Linked DNA regions of Yarrowia lipolytica. The protein of the gene in region 1 binds, or shares a complex with, the protein of each later gene. Links are inferred from orthologs where the notes say so. Each region holds a gene or a part of one and is shown in the gene's direction. Other genes may lie near its edges. The genes, in order: YALI1_D04901g, YALI1_E17171g, YALI1_D10858g and YALI1_C10492g.

Evidence for each region.
Region 2: YALI1_D04901g (region 1) and YALI1_E17171g share a complex: the UniProt entries of both Saccharomyces cerevisiae proteins name them as parts of the mitochondrial small ribosomal subunit. The link is inferred for Yarrowia lipolytica from reciprocal best matches to the Saccharomyces cerevisiae genes RSM25 and MRPS18.
Region 3: YALI1_D04901g (region 1) and YALI1_D10858g share a complex: the UniProt entries of both Saccharomyces cerevisiae proteins name them as parts of the mitochondrial small ribosomal subunit. The link is inferred for Yarrowia lipolytica from reciprocal best matches to the Saccharomyces cerevisiae genes RSM25 and RSM24.
Region 4: YALI1_D04901g (region 1) and YALI1_C10492g share a complex: the UniProt entries of both Saccharomyces cerevisiae proteins name them as parts of the mitochondrial small ribosomal subunit. The link is inferred for Yarrowia lipolytica from reciprocal best matches to the Saccharomyces cerevisiae genes RSM25 and MRPS17.

The regions. Positions count from the first base shown.
Region 1 is NC_090773.1:487,765-493,129, reverse strand, and holds YALI1_D04901g (mitochondrial 37S ribosomal protein mS23), read left to right. Parts: upstream 1-2,980; coding exon 2,981-3,670; downstream 3,671-5,365. Other genes in the region: YALI1_D04910g (uncharacterized protein), read right to left, coding at 365-2,080; YALI1_D04814g (uncharacterized protein), read right to left, coding at 4,454-5,365. UniProt on the Saccharomyces cerevisiae protein: Component of the mitochondrial ribosome (mitoribosome), a dedicated translation machinery responsible for the synthesis of mitochondrial genome-encoded proteins, including at least some of the essential transmembrane subunits of the mitochondrial respiratory chain.
Region 2 is NC_090774.1:1,714,711-1,720,194, reverse strand, and holds YALI1_E17171g (mitochondrial 37S ribosomal protein uS11m), read left to right. Parts: upstream 1-2,882; coding exon 2,883-2,973; intron 2,974-3,049; coding exon 3,050-3,579; downstream 3,580-5,484. Other genes in the region: YALI1_E17201g (uncharacterized protein), read left to right, coding at 106-816; YALI1_E17184g (uncharacterized protein), read right to left, coding at 978-1,736; YALI1_E17162g (uncharacterized protein), read left to right, coding at 3,923-5,484. UniProt on the Saccharomyces cerevisiae protein: Component of the mitochondrial ribosome (mitoribosome), a dedicated translation machinery responsible for the synthesis of mitochondrial genome-encoded proteins, including at least some of the essential transmembrane subunits of the mitochondrial respiratory chain.
Region 3 is NC_090773.1:1,082,747-1,088,524, reverse strand, and holds YALI1_D10858g (mitochondrial 37S ribosomal protein mS35), read left to right. Parts: upstream 1-2,641; coding exon 2,642-3,820; downstream 3,821-5,778. Other genes in the region: YALI1_D10865g (mitochondrial 37S ribosomal protein uS7m), read right to left, coding at 923-1,927; YALI1_D10829g (uncharacterized protein), read right to left, coding at 4,320-5,431, 5,545-5,602. UniProt on the Saccharomyces cerevisiae protein: Component of the mitochondrial ribosome (mitoribosome), a dedicated translation machinery responsible for the synthesis of mitochondrial genome-encoded proteins, including at least some of the essential transmembrane subunits of the mitochondrial respiratory chain.
Region 4 is NC_090772.1:1,046,597-1,051,906, reverse strand, and holds YALI1_C10492g (mitochondrial 37S ribosomal protein uS17m), read left to right. Parts: upstream 1-2,668; coding exon 2,669-3,367; downstream 3,368-5,310. Other genes in the region: YALI1_C10497g (uncharacterized protein), read right to left, coding at 1-2,169; YALI1_C10480g (uncharacterized protein), read left to right, coding at 3,810-4,718. UniProt on the Saccharomyces cerevisiae protein: Component of the mitochondrial ribosome (mitoribosome), a dedicated translation machinery responsible for the synthesis of mitochondrial genome-encoded proteins, including at least some of the essential transmembrane subunits of the mitochondrial respiratory chain.

The DNA.
Region 1 (5,365 bases):
AAGTACGGGTAGTTTCATATATCTAAGTCCAGTCAATTTCTCAAAAAAGCGTTTGGCTTAACAAACAAATTGCAATTTAGAAAAACCTTACAAATGTGGAACTGGTTTGATGTTGCTACCCCCATTCACATGTTTACATATACACACACGCGCGTTCATCTTTCCATCTACTCCCCTCCTCCAGAGAAGTAAAAAATGCAATCTATTGTCATCGGACCTTTCCGATATAAAAGTATTTTTGTCATCACTTGGGGCCTGCTTTCCTCCCTTCATGTTGGGGGTTCTTCTCGTCCAGTTTCACTCGCCTCCTGACGTCCCCTTTCAAGAAGTTCCTCATCGATTTGACAGTCGTCTACAAGGCCTTTTATTTTGTCGATTCATTTGCGTCCTTGGTAGACTCATCTCCAATTTGAAGGTCCTCCTCAACCCTAGTTTCCATCTCAGCTTCAATGTAAAAGTCCGCTTCCTCCAGTTTCGACCATGCTGTCCGTGTAGGCTGTTCCACCTTCTCCTCCTGCATCTCCTTAGGAGCAGCCATCTCTCTGGCATACCGCGACTTGTCCAGAAACACGTCCATCCACTCCTGGACCATGCTGATGGGCGGCTTCAGCTCTCCGCCTCCAAGCCCCTGGTGTTTTTGAACATGCAACCGTCTAAAATAAATAAAAATGTACGCCTGCTTCTCCTCGTCCGTCCTTGCCAGTCGCACGGCCTCCAGGCAGTTGGCCTCGGAAATCAACGCAGTTCCTCCTCGAGCATCGATCACCCCGGTCGCCTTGTACGCCTTCAGAGCCGCCATGAATAGCTCTAGAGTGAAAATGGCATTGTCAGGCTTCGTTTTAAGCACGTACTCGGTCAGATAAATGAGATCATCGCCCGTCCACGTCTCATGCTTCTCAAACCCTTGGTACATGTCTTGGAGACACATTGTGGGCACTTCTCCAAAGTACATCTGGGCCATTTTGAGCACTCTGGTGCACTCTGAGAAGGATTTGTGGTGATGGAGGAGCATGGAAAACGTTTCGGGAGTCATGGTTGTCGGAGGAATGTCACCTATAGAGCTCATGTGCTTGTATGTGGTAGTCTTGGCATTCTTCTTCCGGGCCGTCTTCCTCTCGAACTTCGCAGCTTTGAAAGCACTCTTGTTCTGACGAACAGCATTGTTGATCTCGCTGGTGGAGAACTGGGCAAGATGCGAAATCACAGCCACAGCCTTGTCGTATCCTCCTTCACCACTTCGCAGTAACCCCCATATCAGAATGTTGACATCTTGGGGTCCCGTGTCTCTGCCTGAATAAAGACTGTAGAAGGTCTCCAGAGTGTCCTCACCAGCCCTTAGTCGCTGTCTGAACACTGTCTGTACTGTAGTGGCGTCCCATTGCACTCCCTTTTGCTCCATTTTGTCCAGCAGCTCCTGAAATGCCTTATTATCTCCCTTGCAAATCACCAAGGCGATATTGAAGGTAGAAACAGGCCATTCGACGTTTCCTGAGAGCAGCTGCATCATGTATTCCATGTCTGCCGAACTCGGGGGCGCTGGCTTTGCCGGGTTGTATTGAGTCTGCCAGTTTTTGTCTCTCAGCACGAGGTACACCAAGGTGTTGACTTCCTTGATAGATAACGGGATTTTACATTCGCGCATGTCTTCACTGATAGTCAACAACCGCTTGATGGTGTGTTTATCACGCAGAGCCGGCGATATGATCAGATCCAGCAGTTGTTCCAACTCAGCATGTTGCAGATGAAGCGGTCTGGGTGTGGGCAGGTTCAGATACAGGTTGTAGATGTCGTCGATGTTGATTTCTTTCGAATAGAGCGCCTTGGTGATGGAGGCGTAGACAGATTTGTTGATACGCTTCCGTGGCACCATGTACCGCAGCTGGCGGGTCTCGTAGTAGTTAAGACTCTCTGGATCAGTGTTGCGCCCCTTGCGTGGGGGTGGCTGAGATTGAGACACAGAAGGTACGTCGAACGGGCGGAGTTGGCGGATTTTCGATTCCATGAGAGTGGAAATAGCACGGGTGGGAGTCACGCGAGCTGAACTGGCTCGGAGCACCGTTCTAACGGCCCTTTTGTGCATTGTTGAATGGTGATATTGAGATCAGAAAATAGTTGCAGGATGGAGAAGTTTAAAAAAATCTGGGGAAGGTCAAAGGGTGTTTGGTCTGGTGTCAGATGGAGTGTTATTGCACAAATTTGACGTATTATATGATTCAAGTATCGCAGATGTGCCTGGTTCAAAATTTAAACCTCTAGGGTGAATATTGAAGGCGAGAGAAAGACAGTCATTTTGTTGATCGCGTAATTTCCCAGTCAACTAACTTTGGATATTAGTTGGTGTAAAACTTAGTAGGATGAGAGCATTAGATAGCACTGTTGTAGGGGTATTAGACAAGTTAAAGAGATTGTAGAAGTTTTGTTGACAAGAAGATGTCATAAATACCGACCGATGGTACTTTCATCTACTTCCAACAGCGTTTAAGACTGTATACATCTTTTGTTAGCCATACAAAGTTCAGGCACACATACTGCGGATATGTGTACAAGTTGTCCATATACAGAAGGATCTTGGGATATATACTGATTCAATAATAGTTTCTTCAGTTATAATACACCCGAAAAATCCGCGGAATCTTTTTCCTTCTCCATACACATCATGCTCCACCTCCGAATCACCCTCCCACACATCTCCCAGCAATGACTTATAGTTGTTTTCGCTCATAACCTATAGAAAGAGGGGAGGGTGCGCACTGTGGCTATCTGAAGGGGAATTCCTACAACCAAAAAAGAGCTTCTCATTAAACTAGTGTTACTGAGTAATATTCGATTATCCATTTTCTCCTCATCTCCGCCATACCCCCATTCTATTCCCATACCCAATATCTCTTCCTCCTGATAAACTTTTTCAGTGAAAAAAGCATGATCCCACAACATCTCACATTCACATCTGTGAAACAACACACTTGTATCCCCACACACCATGTCGCAACGAATCAAGACCGCCGCCGTGGATATTGTGCATATTACCAGTGGCCGAATTGCCTCCGGCATGCTCTCCCACGAGCCCATCTGGTACCGGGCCATGGCTGCCAACATGCCCACCACTGTCTACCAGCACAAACCCCATTTTGAGAAGCTGGCCCGAATCGCCCAGCGGGAGTCTGAAAAGCTCAACGAGTTTATCAAGACGCGGTCCAAGCCGGTGCGGGTGCGAACCCGGCATCTGTATGAGCCCGTGCACCTCAAGTTCATGGAGGATGAGATCCGAGAGATTTTCTACAAGCAGCATCCCTGGGAGCTGGCGCGACCCAAGCTGATTGTGGAGAACAGCGGTGACGATCACGTGACCCAGGACTGGTCCAAGATGTACCAGGCCAACAAGAAGCTCGACGGTGAGTCTGTGGTTCAGCGAACCATTTATCTTCTGGGTGAGAAGAAGACCCACGACCAGAAGGCTCTTCTGGAGGCCTACGACAAGGCTCGATTCGAGTTTTACAAGCTGCGAATGGCTGAAGATGTGCAGAACGTCACTGCCGCCGAGGAGGCTGATATGTTTGGAGCCTGCTTCTCTACCTCGTCGGTGGAGCGAAACCTGTTCCATGAGCAGAAGCGAATTGAGGATTGGAAGGAGAAGGCCGTGGAGATGACGTTGGATATGGGTGCCAAGTAAGCATGAGAGCAGCTAATGATTTCACTAGGTCATGAGCCTGGCGAATTTATCTGGACCCAGGCTTTTGAACATTAACATACTCACATGCTCCCGAGCCTACCAACAACTAAAATAAAGTGTATATAGTCAAGTTATGAAACGAAAACGATCTGAGGGTCTAGTGAATGGGTCCCTGAGACAGATGATAGTCTTGTGGAGACAATGTTAACGAGTTTGACTCTGCTGCTCCTTCCAGTGATCCATAAGTCTCTCTGTTGATTTGATGGGTTCTTTGTGATAGGTTATATTGTCTTGCTTACTTCAGTCGAATTTTGAACTCTACATTGTAACTTATTGGCCATTCATGGAGTTCTACCCTCAGTACATACAGTACATCGTAATGCAACTGTTGATGCTATTGTACGTCTAGCTAGGCTACATTCTGGGGTTCCAAAGTTGAAACCATCTGTGTAGAGCCTGTGTCTTTATGAACAAGCACATACTTCTTCCATCTATCATCTCTGTGATACTCTACCTTCGAACTTCATTTAGCCTGCCTGGTTCTGTTGAGTACAAGCATTTCACAGCCGAACCATCTCTCGTTGTACATTTAATGCATCAATGTCATGTTATTTATATACAAATATGTCCCTGTGTCAACTCCGACATGCTACAAGTAGTGAGCGACACTGTTCAAGTAGGACAGTGGACAGTAGCCATAGGTCAAGTACGTACTCAAGCTGAAGTGTTGTACATTCTCATTGTGTCCTGAGTGAGGATTCGCCTGAATTCGCCTCTGAGAACTCAGTAGAACGGCGTCCACCCGTGAAAAATCACAGCCAGATTCTCCACGCTCACCGCCTCCCCAATCAGCTCTCTCACCACGGCCTCCGTGCTCAATCTCACTGCGAGCTTCCCCTTTACACCGCTCAGACACATGTCTGCCGTCACGTTGGACTCCTCCAACTTGATATCAGACAAGTCTGATCCCGAAGAGCTTCTTGTTTGTTTTTTCTTGGGGGACATTGTCCACGAATACAACGGATCGTAACGAAGCACGTTGAGAATCGATAGAATGTTATCCTGCTGTTCTCGGAACAGACCCAGGGACAATTCACAGCAGCGCCTAAATGGCCCATCGACTCCCACACTACCCATGGCATCAACCATGTCTCTTGTGAGTCGAAAGGGCACCTTTTCAGGCACAGTCAGGTTCTTGCCCTGGTCAAACGAAATACCCAAGTCGATATGCACCAATTGACCTGTCTTGTAATCAATCATAATGTTGTTACAATGTCGATCTCCAATACCAAGAATGTAACCAAGCATGGAAGAAGCAGCTGCTGAACGCACATAGTTGGTACGGGCTTTGAACCAGGCCTGGGCGGACGAACGAAAGTTCTGAAAAAAGTATTGGCTCATTACAGGCGTCACGTGCGTGTAGATTTCCTCCAGTACCTCGACCCGTCGACTGTTGCTCTCCTTGGCTACCGCACTCATTTTGGTCCGTCCGGTAAGGTAATCCCAGTCGTCTTTTTCGTGTAAAGGCACCAGAGCTGCCTGGAGAGACTCCGTGTTGGCCACAAACTCAATCATGCCTGCTCGAGGACCCATGGGTACCACATTGTACGTTCTGATAGACAGGCCACGTTTGCGGGTCTCGGGGTCGCCCAAAAAGTACTGGTTGACTCTGCAAAACACCTGCTCCATGATAGC
Region 2 (5,484 bases), on another chromosome or scaffold:
AAAGAGTCGGGAGAGAAAAAAGAAGAACAAGACGTGCACAAAGCAATCATTTAAATACTCTGCATCCACACACACAGACTCAGACACACACACACATCCAACAACATGAACATCATACCAAGACAGCCTCGCACACCTACTCGCAAGAGCTGTAGCGGGACCGCCACACCGACTCCACGACGACGAGTTCGAGACGAAGTTGAGGAGGATGAGGTTGTTCTCTCGGGAGAAAACGTCAAGGAGATCACAAAGCGTCTGAAGGGCCACAGCCAGCGACGGACCCATGCTTGCATCACCCAGATCCCTCGGTATATCAGTCAAGGGTCGGTATACAGCATTCGACAGGTTCCTCTTACATTTGAATGCGAAGTAGGGTATTTTGGTCCACATAGCGATGTGATGGACAGCGATACGACAATACTCAAGCTACGGGACATTTCCAGTGAGCTCGGCTTTCTGTTCTTCCTGGACGACCAGATGGAGCCCAATATCCGACAGCAGCTGGAAAAGTGTTGGGCGGTTCTACAAACACAGCTAGGTGCTACTGTAGTTGCCGTGACTACCGACGCCCATGCTACACAGAACGACTATTCTATTCCCCTCATCTGTGACCATACAGTTGCCCTTGCGCGAGCTTTTCGGGCACTTCATCCCATGGGAGGAGGACGCATGTTGCTTGATGCCATTGCCATGATTGATCGGGCCACCAACAAGATCTATTTTGCGCCTCTGAGTCTTGGAAACAGCACTGCTCAGGTGAGTCTTCGGTGTGAAGATGTCATGGCCTTTGTCGAGTACATTTGGTCGGAACGTTGACCACCCCACTATTTATTGCATACTTACATAACTCTTAATCGCATTGAATTGTATTTGTACGAGTATTTTGTTATACTGTACTAATTGGCTACTCGTAGCCCCTACCCCTCTTGGTTTGATACTCTTCGTTTCTATATTCTATTTACAAGCACTAAGACTGATTAGATGCTCTTTTTGCCCTTGAGCTGGTCGAGGGGAGATCGGGCAAAAGTCGACTGCAGACCCCGGATGATGATATAGCTAATGTAGCCAATAACCCCGGCTCCAATGAAGACGCCAACTCGGACCTCGGTGCTCACGAGGCCGAGGAAGGGGTAGGGGAAGAAGTTGTTGACGGAGGCGGTCTTGTGGACCCAGAACCAGTATGCTGCCGACAGACCAAAGTTGGCAACTACGGCCTGGACGGTGGTCAGGTTCCAGGGCTGGCCCATGAGTACCACGTCCAGGAAAAGGGCGACGGCAGGGACCAGGTGGATGGACATGTCGAGCCACAACGGAATCTGTTCCTTGACGGCGGGGTGTTTGAGCAGCTTGGGGTCGTAGAGCTTGAGGGACCAGTAGAGCACGGTGATGACGCACTCGAGGGGCGTCACAGCCACCGACACGGAGTTTTTGAGCTGGTAAAGCAGATTGCTGAAGTCCTTGGAGTAGAGCGAGGCTGCGTCGGCCAGCAGAGCAAGCAAGAACGCTAGGTAGCTGCCGCACAGACCCAGAATGGTCAGGTACTGGTACTTTCCTCCGTACGAGGCATTGAGCGGGTTGGGGTACTGTTCCAGAAAGTGGAACGACGAGGCGAATGAGATGAAGCCAATCAGGTGGTAGGCAAAAGACAGACCCACGTTGGGCGAGCTAATCCACGGCTTGTAGGGCGCCTTGGTGGTGCGGATGGCTCGGGTGGCTTCTCGTTCCTGTTGCGTCATGATTCGGGCTGAATGGCAATGTGCAGAGTGACTGTACTTTGTGTCGTGTGTGTCAATTTTTCACACGCTCTCCTCCAAAGTAGGCCACACTCTTTCTCTGTTGCTCCCTTGCATAGCGATAAGCGTACGCAATCCACGTGGGTGCGTCTAACTCCATCGCTGGATCCCGGTCTAAATACATCTTTTTTAGGCGAGCCACGCGACTGGCGGCTAATTGCGGTGCAGAGGCCACCCGGTGACAACTAAGGCGGTTCCCTGGGCCCCTCGGATCCCCATATACTCTATCCATTTGGCTTTTGGCCAACACTGTAGCTATTACGAGGGGACGTTGCTCGTCAGCAATATTAGTCTTCGTGTGAAAATATAATTAACCTCCAACGATTGTTTCCAACAGCAGAGTCCAGTAAGCACAAGTACGACTTTTTTGCTGGAAGTTTTTTGTGAGAATGGTATGGTATGACAGCCACATAAGTGAAGCAGGAACAAGGAGCAAGTAGTTCATTTACCACTCCGTACAAGTAGCGAATTGACGTTGGTTATATAGGTATGGAGTTTCAAACGTATCAGAGTATGATGAGCATGTACATTCTCTACAAGTACGTATATGTATGTACATACTGTACCAGTACAACTGAGGTCATATCGTGAGCTGAAACTATGGGTTAGATGAGATGGAACACCAACAGAGAGAGGAGCCAGAGAGGGAACAGTCGAGGGAACAGTCGAGGGGAACAGTCGAGGGGAACAGTCGAGGGAACAGTCGAGGGTTGCCTTTACTTACTTTACTCCAACCCTTTTTCAGTATGTACTTTTTTCAAGTGTTCAGCGTCTCGTCACCATTTCAAGCTTGAACTGTGGTCTTCAGTATGTATGAGAGACTTTGATTAGTTAATTTAGTTGATTTAGCTGATTTGTGTGGATAGGCGATTGCAAAATAAATGGTTCCCCTCTTTAATACACAGTCAATTAGAATGGCTTTTTTCTTTCTTTTAATTTTCTATATATTTATGGCGGTTTTATCCAATTTGTTTTGGTTTTATCACCGCACACTCCTCCCACTGACTAAGTGCATCACGTGCCGGGTGGAAAATCAAATTTGTCAAGGTTACGCATATCCACCACCACAGCGTCATCACTAACACAAAAATGCAAGGGTTTCAGATGCTGCGGACCCGAGTCGCCACGGGCGCCATCGGAGGTGTTCGACACAATTCTGGCCTCGCCAGTTTCATGAACCGTGAGTTGAGCGCTTGCGAGCAGGCTGATTTGAGGATCTGACCAAGATGGAACGACTCCGGATCGTACTAACACAGTGCAAAAGGAAATCAGCAAGATCCCTAAGACGGACGCCGAGGAGCTGAACAAGGCCCGAGAGACCCAGAGACAGATCGACCAGAGCGCCAAGGGTAAGGAGGTGGTGCGACACTACGTCCATGTGACCGCTACCAAGAACAACTTGCACATCTGCGCTACCGACGAGTTTGTTGACAAGTCCTTCATTCCCGAGAGCATTGACGAGAAGCTGCTGCAGAAGGTGCGAGCCCCCCAGGAGGTGCGATTCCACATTTCTTGCGGACATCTCGGCATTAAGAAGAAGGAGCGAGGAGAGTACGACGGAGCCTTCCAGACCAGTGTCCGAGCCTTTGAGCTGCTCGAGAAGAAGGGCATGCTGACCCGACCCGTCGAGGTTGTTGTCCGAGGCTTTGGACGAGGCCGAGAGGGTTTCTTTGCCGCTCTCACTGCCCCTGAGGGAGAGAAGGTGGCCTCCAAGGTCGACCGTCTGTCTGACCGAACCAAGCTCAACCAGGGAGGTACCCGACCTCCTGGACGACGACGAGTCTAAACGGGTGCATTGTACATAGGAATAGTATTCATAGTTGGTGTTTGAGCGATGCTGTAGCCTGTACTGGTATGTTGATGAGCCGCAACGCTCGGATACAATAAGGCAAGTATGACGAACAAACAATGGCCAACAATGACCGCACAGTATTGCTTTTTTGAACAATCTGATCTCAAGTGCATAGTCACTTGATTGCTCGGTCAAAATGTCTTTTGCCTTCAATATCAGCTACACTCCTCCTACCCCATACTAATCTCCGCATGTATGGATAAACTTCAGCAGTTTTGAAATATCCCGACTAACGACCCCGACCAACAGTATCGTACTTGTGAAAACAGCAGAACACATGTTTCGAAACGCCCGATTGGCTGGATTGGTATGCTCAGCTCGACGAGCAGGCGTGGTGAGTGCCCGAACTTCGCGAGCCATGCGACTCACCGGCGGATCCCGAGGACTCTCTGGTCTCCACAGTAACGTCAACATCACTCTCAAGCAGATTGAAGCCACAGTGCCCAAGTTTGCCGTGGACAAGGGCCAGATCCAGGTTCTGTACGATCCCGAAGAGTTCTACGACCAGCTCAAGCAGAAAATCCTGGCGGCGAAGGAGCGTGTGTTCCTCTCCACTCTTTACGTTGGCAAGGAGGAGACGGAACTAGTTAGCTGCTTGGACGAGGCTCTGACGAAAAACCCCGGTCTCAAGGTCTCCGTGCTCATTGACGGCCTGAGAGGAACCCGCGAGGAGCCCGAAACGTGCTCGGCCTCTCTTCTGGCCTCCCTGCTCCACAAACACGGAGATCGGGTCGATATCAGATGCTACATCACCCCACACCTGTTTGGACTCAAGAAACAGCTGATCCCCAAGCGATTCAACGAAGGCTGGGGCCTACAACACATGAAATTGTATGGTTGCGACGACGATATCATTCTGTCGGGAGCCAACCTGTCCAGAGACTACTTTACCAACCGACAGGATCGATACTTTGTGTTCAAGTCTCGGCCTATTGTCGACTACTACCACGCCATCCACAACGCTGTGTGCAGACTCAGCTGGAGAGTGGCCCTCCCCAAACCCGCCGAGAAGGCCCCCGAGCCCGGAAAAATGGCTGTCTTCTTCAAAAAGCAGGCTGCTTCTATTGCCAAGAAGATTCTTCCCGAACCCGAACCGGTCAAGGACCCCGGCTTTGTGCTGGAATGGCCCAACAACAACACTCTGCAAAGCCCCAATGTGTCTCTTGCCGAGTTCCAGCGTCAGGCTACCGCCTCTATTGCTCCTCTCATCACCAGTAAACCTGTCGAGAGCGGCCGACGAAAGGTCAAGTCTCTAGCCCAAAGAGAAACTGAACTCGAGGAGGCTAAGAACGAGTCAGAGTCCACCGAGCCCCAGACTCTCGTATTCCCCATCTCGCAATTCACTCCCCTTCTTAAACCCGATTCCTCCACCGAGTTCCCTACTCTGGGACGTCTTCTCTCCATGCTGTCCATGCAGCGATCTTCATGGACCTTCACCGCTGGCTACTTCAACATGCACCCCGAATTCAAGGCCAAGCTGCTCGGCAGTGTCCCCGATAAGGGAACCGTCATCACTGCCTCTCCTCAAGCCAACGGTTTTTACAAGAGTCACGGTATCTCGCAGTACTTGCCCGACTGCTACACCCTGCTGGCGCGCCAGTTCATTCTTGACGTCAACAAGGCCCATAGACAGAAGGAGATTGAGCTGCTGGAGTGGCAGCGAGGTGTCGTCAACACCCCCGGTGGATGGTCTTACCACGCCAAGGGTATCTGGATCAATGGTCCTGGAGACAAGTTGCCATCAATCACTGTTGTGGGCTCTTCTAACTACACTAGACGAGGCTATTCCAAGGATCTCGAGACTAACGCTCTGATTGTCACCACAGACGAGGAGCTTAA
Region 3 (5,778 bases), about 600 kb from region 1:
TGTACTGTAGCTACGATGGGCAAAGCCAGGCACTGCAGTCAGCAACCTCTCTTAATGTCAGCAGAGAACAATTGTGAATATCCAGATCCGCTCCCATGAGCCGTACCATTGTTTTGGGTATATTTGCTGTCTATAGATGACTCTTCTTCCACGTTTTGGTTCGCACCTTGAGATGCTCCCCTCGGAGTTAACACGAGGCATATTGGCTTTATGTAAGTTTGTGGAAACTACAAGTAAGACTACCAGGACGATTTTTCAGGGAGAAGGAGTGTTGTCTTAGCTGTGAGTGATGCTACTAATTTATAAAGAATGAATAGCTGTATTTTTATTACGAGTAAGTCTGAGACTGTGTGAATGGTGTTTCTTACTTCTACTGTGATGTGTTAGAGGGGTGTGTATTTGATTGCTGTAGTGGATGGGCCAAGTAATGCGAATAATTCTCAAGTAAAGCCATGTAAATTTATGGAGGGTAAAGAGGGTCGATCACTGAACGAATACAAGTACAGATTGGTACCGGTACGAAAAGTACAAGTACATATATGCTACTTGTAGGGAAAAGCGACAAACATTAAGGGAAAATAAACACTCTTGGACTTCGTAATTACAACATCTTTAGAGACTCTCTTCCTTCAAGCTACAGTAGACCCCATCTAGTCTACAGAGGAGACGTCTTTCAGAGTGAAGCTCTAGAAACATACCACTGGTTGCGACTTCAAAGCAGTAAAGCAATGAGATCTATCTAACCACTGTTTGAGTATCTACAGTGAGATTGAGTCGTAGTGATCTTGAGCAGCGTATAAACCATACTATTATACTGTTCAAGCTCTCATGCACGGATCTCGTGTTTCATTCTTACGCCCATTCTCTCGGAGTAAGCTCCTCGATATCGGGATCTGTTCTCTCCTTAACTATATACAATACTCTACTTTCGGGGTCGGCTGGGGTCAGCATGGACTCGGTTGGCCACGGCGAGGTTGTGGATGACCAGGGTCTTCTCCATGAGCGACGCTCCCTTGGACTTAATGACGGATGCTATCTCCTCTCCGAGTCGGACCGAGAATGATCGGTTGGGCCGCTTCTCGGCGTTGTCGACGGACCACTTCCACACTATTCGTCGTCGCTGTCGCTCGGTGATGGGAACGGGGTACTGGACCTTTCGAGCACCAACGGGGGTCGACTTGATGACACAGACGGGGGCAACGTCATCAAAGACCTGCTTGAGCAGAGGAATGGGGTCGGCCTTGATCATGACCTGAGCGAGCTCCATAGCCTGGTAAAAGTGCCGTCGGGCAGCGTTCTTTCGGCCATGCTTCATGATCATATTGATCAGATGGGCCTCGAACTCGCCGTCGACCTTGTTGGGGATGGGCGCAGTCTTGAGAGCCTCAGCCTCGGCCACCTGCTCCTCGGTGGGCACAAACAGAGCCTTCTTACCGTTCTTGCCGGTGATGACCTGCTCAAACTGCGACTCAGAAGTGGGGTCGATGAGCGCCATGGGGTCGACCTTGTTGGCGGAAACGTCGCTGAAGAAGCCGGAAACAGTGCTCTCCTGTCGGTACTTGTCCAGCGTCTCTCGGAACTTTTGCATGTCCAGAGCGTCCTTACCCTCAAACTTTTCGGTCGACATGCTCTTGGCCTTGATGTCGTCCAACAGAGCAATCCACTGTCGAGCATGGCCCTCGGCGGTCTCGGGAGCAATGGGCTTTACGGCGTTGGCCTTGATTCGCTCCGTGTACTTGGCAGCAATAGCGTCTGTGTCCTCCTCACCCAGATCGGAGTTGACGGCCAGCTCCTGGGCAAGGGCCTTCTGGTCGCCGTCAAATCGGTCTGCTCGCACGTTCAGACCCACCAGGATCTTGGCGGGCGACGCCGAGGCGTATCCGCGACGGGCGGAGAACCGAGCTAGTCCTGAAGTCGTTCTCAGCATGGTGGTGTGTGTAGATGGTGATGTGAGAGTGAAAAGTTAGTTTGAGTTGGGTGTAGGAGAGGTGGTACCGGTGGAACCTGGGGGGGTTGGAGCGGGGGCCAAGGAGCGGTAAATTCGCAGAAATAAAGGCTGTAGGTGAAGTAGCTTGTCTTTTTGTATATATTTACTTTTTTCATTTTGTCATTTATGCTCCCATTCCATCATTTATCACATACCTCTTTATATCTCCAAATACAATCCTTGCAGCCTCAAAGTGTGTGAAATTTGAGGTGAAATTTCGGTCACTCGACTTTTTTTAGCTTTTCGGAGAGAGAATATGGGTATCAGTAAAATGGGGAGTTTGAGGACTGCAGCCTTGAAAAATTGACAGAATATATATTGCCACAGCGAAAATATTTCGACTAAATTTCACCCATCTATCTCTTCTTCAACCTCCTCAAATTCCCATTGTCGTCCAGCTCTATAGTATGAAGAAGGTTTTGCTTAGTTATCAGGGTAGGGTTTTTCCTAGTTGACACAAGATCTTTATATGGTGTCATTTTTTGCGAATAAAACACCTTAGATTTACTTTTCCAACCATGGGCTATTGATTCCTCTTTTCTTCATCTTTCTAGCCTTCTTACAGCCATTTCTGGAAACCCTCCCGCTTCTCCTCCATTTTCACTGCATTTTTTAACTTCTCACCACTGAACATTTTCATAATCATCACACAACATGCTCAGACTGGCAAACCAAAGCAGGGTGCTCCAGGGAGCGTTTGCACGAGCCACGGTTGTAGGCCGGGCCTCCGCCGTGACCCATGTTCGTTTCATGTCCGATTCGACCGACGTTCCTCCCTCGGATCAGTCCAAGCCCTCGTTCCGAACCGACAAGCGCATTGAGTCAGCCACTCCGTTTGCTGAGCCCTCCGAGATCCCCTCTGCAGACGCCTCTCTGCTTCCCCGGACCAACCGAGTCGAGGAGCTCCAGTTTGAGGCCAAGTACACGCTCGACGCCAAGACGAAGGAGGCTCTGGATACCATTGAGGAGCTGGGCTTCAAGACCCGGCAGAACCTGGATCCCGAGCGATTCAGCGACGAGGAACTAGACCCCAGAAACTGGACCGGCCTCGAGTTCCATGAGGTGGTCACGCGTCTTCACAACCGACAGTTCAAGCTCGGATCGGCCTACTCCCAGAGCGAGGAGGAACTGCGACAGCTGGTTCGAGCTGGTCGAGTTGCTGGAGCCGACGCTGGCGTAATCCGATCCGCCTACCACGGCAAGCATAGCGTCGTTGAGAAGAATGAGGAGGACGACGATCTTTTGGATGCTGATCACGTTAACGAGTTCATGTACGACGATATCCCCACTGCTGGACACATGCAGGTGGAGAAGGTGCGAAAGATGCGACACCTCCAGCGAATGTCTGCCTACGTGCTCCCCCGACTCGTCGATTATCATGTGCCCTTTGATGTCAAGGAGGCTGACAAGAAGGCTTCTCCCCTGACCTTCAAGTACACCTCGTACACCGGAGAGGAGGCCGACGAAGAGGCCAAGGTGGTCTGCTACTTTGACCCTGCCAACCTGGGTCTCTCCGACAAGGGCCTGCACAAGTTCAAGCTGCTGTCTGGACAGAACTACGACGCTCTGACCGGCCAGTGCAAGTTTGCCAGCAAGCGACACCCCTCTGCCCCCGAAAACAAGCACTACCTGCTGACTCAGATTCTCAAGCTCAAGACCGAGGCCGAGCAAGGTGACTCGTTCGAGGACGTGCCTCTGGACACCCGACACGCCCGAAACAAGGCGGAGCGCATCGCCAAGCGAGACCGATACCGACTGGCCAAGTTCCCCGAGGAGTGGAACCGACCTGAAGACAAGGCTAAGCAGACCGCTTTCAAGGCTCTTTTCGGGTAATGTATATAGTAAATGAGTAACAAGCAAACGCAAGCGTGTGTAGCCCATTATATCTTTAGGCCAGACGAAGGCACCTAGGTGTTGTATCGTACTGTGCTAGATAGGAAGCCAGATTTGTCCAAAACTGGTACCAGTACGAATGTTTGTACATGGCTTCGCAACGCAGCAATCACGGTATGAATTCCCATCTTCGTGTATGAAGACAAGTCTGGATATGTACTTGTACAGTTCCCCTATCAAGCATGCTACATATGGGTGAGACATGGCCCCCACACTCTCTATGATATACAAGTACTGTCGAGAGCCATACTTCAACGTCATGGAGAAAGGTGTATGGGATGTCGAGCTACAACCACTACTCACCTACACTGACCTGATCTCCCTGCTACAATTACCACCCAATTCCGTCGATGCCCGTGACCTCCAGCCACTTGCCACCTGGTACCTGTTATGATAAATAATCCATGCTGTGCTAATGAGTGTCGCTAAGTGCAACCCTTTACTCCGTCTTTAGTCGTTTTGCCTCTCTATCTTCTTCGGTTTCGGTTGTGGTTCCATTTTGTGCCGTTGGCTCGGTTGGCTCCTTGTCTGTTGGTTCCTTCTTTGTTGTTTCCTTCTCTGAGGTTGACTCCTTCTCGGGGGCTTCCTTCTCTGTAGTCTGTGTGGGCTCCGTGGGCTCCTTCTTCTCCTCCTCTGCAGTATCGGCTTCCACCTCTCTCCTCTCTCCATGCTTATGGTTTATGTTGGTCACGTCAGCAACTACCGTGGTGAGCAAATCTCCCTGGGTCTCCTCACTCTTAACCTGTCTGATCTCCTGAGCAACCTCATCTGGTACATCGTGAGTGGCCATTTCCGCCGACAAATCCGCATCCGTCATTTCCACAGAAACGTCGTGGGTCGTCATCGACTCGGAAATGCTATCTCCAGACACATCTGCCATCTCCACGGACACATTAGAAGCTTCGTGAGAAACATTCTCTGCTGGTACCTCTGATATCTCCTTGGTCTCCTCTTCCTCTTTGTCTTCCTTCTTGCCCTCCTGCTGCTTACCCTCTTCCTGCTGCTCCTTCTGTACTGGCTTAACCCCATCGTCCTGTTCGTCGGCGGTAACGGCGTCGGTCTCCTCTCCTCCCTTTTCAAGCTTGGTTGTATCCCCCTCAGAAATCCACGGGATCGGCGTCAGCACAATTCCCGTATCCGGTTTGATCTTCTCGCCGTCCTCCACCGTCGGCACATCGTGAATGTCCACACTCACTTGGCCGTAGTCGTCAATGGACGAAGACACCAACATTACCCGCTCCAGAGCTCGCAGAAACTTGGCGAGGTGGTTCTGAGGGTAATACTTGAACGGCTCGGTCAATAGTTCGGCCATGCGCTTCAGAGTGAAGGGTGGACTGCTCTTGAATTGCGGTGCGTCTAAGAGCCCCACTATTCGGTGGATTTGTTCCTGAGCATCCTCCTGGTGGCCTGTCACGGCATTTACAACCATGCCATCTTTGATGGGGTCGTACGACTCGCAGATCTCTTTGATCAGCTGCTGCACATGGCCTCGCTGCTCCTCCCAGCTGGGCATAGATCCATCTTCAATGGCAGTCTTGAGACTGGATAATGCTAACGTTAGTACGGTAGCGAGGCTGTAGATCAGCATGGGTGCATCCCGGCTGTTGTGGATCACGTGGCCTCCTTGGTGTCACCTGACTTCGTTCCTCCCTTCTGGTACTTACCGCCCGCGGTTTCCAAGGTCATTTTGATGGTGATGTTTACGATGAAAGAGTGCTGCATGACTCCCTCACGTGTAGCACGTGAAGCTTAATCGTCACACGACAACGTGGTTATTGAGAGGGGGGAAAGCGCTGGGTAAAGGGGCCTAGATAATTAACTGGTTTCTGTCTCTGTGTATTATAAAAGCCATTCTAATCAAGATGCACTTTTGATATTCTCTATTCTTCACTTATTCG
Region 4 (5,310 bases), on another chromosome or scaffold:
AACCTGTTTCATGGAGAACTCAGAGATATGAGACTGTTTAACAGAGTCCAGGAATGTTTGGCAAGTCTGTTGTAACGAAGGATCTCGCTTCATGAGCTGTTCCACCACAGGAATGGCGTCCGAGACGTTTGCATCTTCCAGAGCTAAAGCCGCAAGAATGTCAAGAGACGACTTGACCATGCTTTCCTCTCCCTCCATCTCATCATCCGAATCTGCCATATCGTCGTCTGAATCATCATAGACTGGAGCCTTCTGTTTCTCGTATCCCTCTAGCAGCTTGATGACTAGCTCGACAATCTTTTCAGGACTCTTGGCAATCAGACCCTTGTGACCCATCATCAAACCCTCCATGAGCTTCGCATTGATCAGCTGGCCAATAGGATCTCCCTCATCAGTCTGAGAATGCTCCAGGTATCTCACCAGAGTCTCAGTGAACATGTTAGACACCACCTGAGGGTTTTTTGCCTCTCCTAGAAGGCGCACAAACAAACTCACCCGATCATCAACCTCCGACAGAATAGACATGGGTGAAGTAGAAGCCTCTGAGACTCGCCGGAGCTCCAATCGACCGTCCCCGTCTGCGTGAAAGTCTGTCTGGTAGATTCCAGTCTGTCCGAGGTTGTTGTAGATCTGTCTGAGAGTGTTATCGACAGTCACAAGTCGCTGCTTGCTGATATACTCGGCAAGGAAACGGTACATTCGCGGTTGCAACTTCTGTTTGTGTTCCGAGTATGCATAGTACCACAGGTTGGTGCTGATCTTGTCCATGATGTCTGTCGTGGGTTGTTCCACTCGAAGGAGGTTGTAGAGAGTAACGAGAGCCTGCTCGAGCTGTTTGGAAGAAATAACCACGTGGTTGAGTTCCACAGAATCAATCTTTTCCCGCGATGGTCTAAACACATTGAGAACATGGTTGTTGATCTCAAACTGCACGATTTTGTGGAACTTGGGCATGTCGTACAACTTTGCGACAAAGTCGACCACAAATTTGGACGAGTCCGTATCTGAGGCCAACGTCAAAATGTGTCGAATTTGCCCAAAGACGGACTGGAAGAAGTCTCGGGGAGGAACACCCTTTGGAACAGCCGTCAGCACCTGAACCACCTTCTCCATCAGCAGGTTCTTACTGCTATCTCCTGAGGTAAGCACAAAGTCAATGAAAGAAGCGACTCCATCTGGTCGCATGGGAAGAGTCGACAGTGTAGAAGTGACCAACGGATGGTTCTTGGCCAATCTAGTCAGAATACTGTACAGCTGGTACGTATCAATCTTGTCCATAAAGTCAGCCCTCTTGAGCGTTGACGCCAACAAAAACACATCTCCATAGTACCCTGCTCTTAGAATAAGTCCTCCCACATCTCCACCGTCGTTGATGAGTTCAGAAATGCCATTGTATGTGATTTCTGCCAAGATCGGGTCTTGCTCTGTCGTAGAAGGACGTAATCGTGTTCGTTTCTCCAAGTCAGACCGTAGAGAAGGGTCCAGACCTCCATATAGACCCTCAACAACCACCATGTTCAGAATCTTGTGCACCGTTTTCATGTCGTTCAAACTGATGGAAATAATGTCCTTGTTGTGGACTGTAGCATTGGCTCTCATCTGGATCAGGTTCAGTACTGATAACAAGATAGTCACAGCAGATGGACGGAAGTCGGGCACAGACTTGCGCTTCTTGTGGCAATTACCCTCCTCCGAATCTTCGTCCCCCTTGGCAGATGTCAAATAGTACCGTTTGATGTCGGGATCCACCTCGGGACCGAACTGGTACTGGCAGATTGCTGTAACGTTGATCTTGTTGTCCATAACACCGATTTCGGCCAGGTTTTCTGCGTCCTTCAATACAGCATCTAGCGCCATCGATTCCTTTGCCGTGGGCACCGCTGTCTTCTCTAGATCCTCCAGATCTTCCACCTTCAGGTTCTGCACCTTCTTCTGGATATCGTCGTCTATCTCCATTTCAATGTCCTTGTCCGATCTGACCTGTGCTGTGGTGTGCCCGGGTTTTAGCTGGGGTTTGGTTGTCGTTTCATCATCGAAGATCTCTTCAATTTTCATGGCCGTAGGTGTGTGGGTACAACTTGAGAGAGCCAGATCGTCTTGCCATTTCGTACCTACGATGCTTGCATGCTGCCTTAGAGCTGCTGCATAGAGTTTACAGTTGATGGCCATGTGTGACGGCTTCCAAGGTGTGTCCTGTGTGTCGTGAGGGACTAAAACCGCCTACCCAGTGATGAATGGACGGTGCGTAGAGGGATACAAAAGTTTTCAAATTGCAATCGAATGGTTATTGATGAAGATGGAGGGAGTGTCGGCTGTGTCATTTCCTCAAGTGTCTAGTTGGGAGTTACTGTTATTACAGTTACATTATTAGTTGAAAACAAAACTACAACAACGAGTCCATAATGTGTCTGCCGAACAAGTGGATCACATATTTAACATGCGAGTATGCTAAGAAGCGTTTTCTTAATCTACCAATTAGAAACAATTGCCGGTTCGGACCCTGCCACATCTCCCCTTAATCTACCCTTATCCCAATTCGAACTGGCGACATTGCACCAACGTTATTTGGCACCACCCCAAATCGAACCCACGACCCTCCCTGCAAGTGAAATTTCATCCTTTACAAACCCGTCTCAAGGTACTGTCACCACGACATTTCCACACTACAATGAGCACAGCATTTTCCCACGCGCGAGGCCGACAGAGCTTTGTCGGCGTGGTGACCCGACTCGGTCCTAAGGGCTCCAAGTCCATCAAGGTGCGAGTCACCCGTCGAAAGTACATGCCCGCCATTCTCAAGGAGATCAACTTCCACCGAGACTTTTACACCCACGACGAGATGATGGCCTGCCAGGAGGGTGATGTGGTTCGAATCGAGCAGTGCCGACCCATTTCCAAGACCAAGCACTTTGCTGTTGCAGAAATCAAATCCGCTCAGGGTCAGGAGTGGCTCGCGTACCAGAAGGCAGCCCCCGGCCTTGTCGAGGAAGACAACAAGAAGCGAACCATGCAGTTCAACCAGGACAAGGAGCAGGGAGAGGAGGTCTCAGCTCTGTCTGTGCTGGAGCAGCTGCGACAGGTCGCTGAGTACGAGTGGAAGGGTCCCCGAGATCAGGCTCACGAGGACCAGGTCAAGCAGATCAAACAGCACTACGGCATTGATTCGTGGCCCCCGAACAAGCCCATCGCCAACCTCTCTCTGGAGGTGCTGCGAAACGAGTTTTCCAAGACCCATAGCCTGGTCCAGGCCACCCACATGCTTCAAAACGAGCCTGCCAAGGCCGAGGAGATGCTCCAGGAGCTGGGTTTCTCTGGCAAGGGCTTTTCTCAGAAGCGAAACATCCTTGCCAAGGCCCTGAGACGGTGAGCGGGGATGATAATGACGTTTTCGGTGAAGACGACCAGAGTTGTAAATAATAAAATGTATATACTGATGGAAGAAGGAGGTGTAGCGACAAAAAGAATGCGAGCTGCTGAAAGCTTCTGATTTAGCAAACTAAGTAAATCATGCCTAGGACAGTCCCCGTTGGACTCTCAGATTCATATTGTATCCGTTTCAAACAATTGTGAAGACGCGAGCGAACCACTCAGATCGTTGTAAGTACACTGCAGGTAACACGATACCTCCAAGTCCGAAAGAAGAGATTTGAAAAAAGATAAAAGAAGGCGCATGAGCTATCGCTGCTCATCACATGTGTGTAATATCCTGTCTCTAGCCCCTCTCACTTTCATTCTACACCCTCCGACTTTTCAAATTAAGTTCACTATCTACTCTTAACAATGACGTCTAAAATTTATTTCATCTCCACATGCTCTACCATATCAAGTTCCTCAAAGTCCCCACGGCGACAAAAGAGGGATACAAAAGCGTACTCTCGCTCAGCAACGACCTGGGTGACGCCCTGTTCCACGGATCAGCTGAGATTGGCATTGAGGTGGGAAAGAGGAGAAGCAAAGTGACATGGTCTCCAGGAGACAGATCCGTGACTGTCATAACAGCTCCCGGACCTATTTTTCGAGCCACAGTGCTGTCATCGCGCGATGACCTCTTTCCAGACCAGCCCGCTCGGTTCCTCGATCTTTACGCCCAGGCCGTCAATGGCAAGTTCCCTGCCAAGTCGATTCGAAAATTCGACTCCATTCCTCTCACCATTAAGGAAGACACAGGAAACAGTATAGCTCGTCACGTGTGGGACGCAGGCGTCACTCTGGCTCATACGCTTACCAAGGAGCGAATCTATGAGCAGATCACCGGTAAAGATTCCAGCCAGCAGGTGGGCATTTTGGAGCTAGGTGCAGGATGTGGAATTGTTGGGTTAGCGGTGGAAAAGCATCTGGGAGGTCAGGGAAGTTTGATTTTGTCTGATCTGGAGGAGGCTCGAGAGTGTGCCGAGGAGAGTATCGCGCTGAACAATTCGTCTGCCTCGTTTATGGCTCTTGATTGGGCTGATGAGGATGTTTCTCAGTTGACCAATCTTGATCTCATTATTGTGGCTGATTGCACGTACAATATGGACATGTACGAGACTTTGGTTGCTTGCTTGGAACGTCTTTTAAAGGCAAACCCCTCAGCAAAGGTGGTTATTGGACACAAGATGCGTAACGAGCAGGAATCTGAATTCTTTGAGATGCTTGAGCAGCGGTTGAAGGTTGAGCGGGACTCGACAGAAAGTGTGGGAGTGCAAGTGCGGGTTGTGGTTGCTAAAATGAAGGAGTGATTACGAAAGAAGGATTGGTTACCAAGGATCGGTACGTATTTATTTGAAGACAACGATGAAAAAGAATGCTTGCAGTATTTGGGATTTGTTAGATTTTTAGTTGAGAACCTTTAGCATGTGTTTTTTTTGATATTTATAAATTTGTTGATACCTAAATTAGGTTACTTTAAAGATGGTAGTTGTCCGGGACTGGGCTAAGATACCATCTCAATTATCACCTTTGATGCAAATTATTGCGGGAATTATTCGAGGAATCAACTTACCCATGCATTTTCTACTGATTTAGTGCTTATCCTCTCATCTCCGCTCACGAAAAAACATCCCTTTGGCACACCCTCTGAGTAGTTCTGGACATGCAGCGACTAAGTAAGTCCGACAGAACGAAGCCGAAATTTCCGAGGTGTGTTGAGGGATTTAAATGAAATCTTTTCAGCCACTTCTTCTGTCAGATCAAACATTCCGCGACGTTTCTAATCACGTGACATCCCACCTCCGCCAATGACTCCTGACATATCTCACAGTACATGTTGTCTTATCCTCAGACTCTGTCTCAACCGCCGTCAGCTCGTGAGTTAATTTTGGCCTCCCTTGA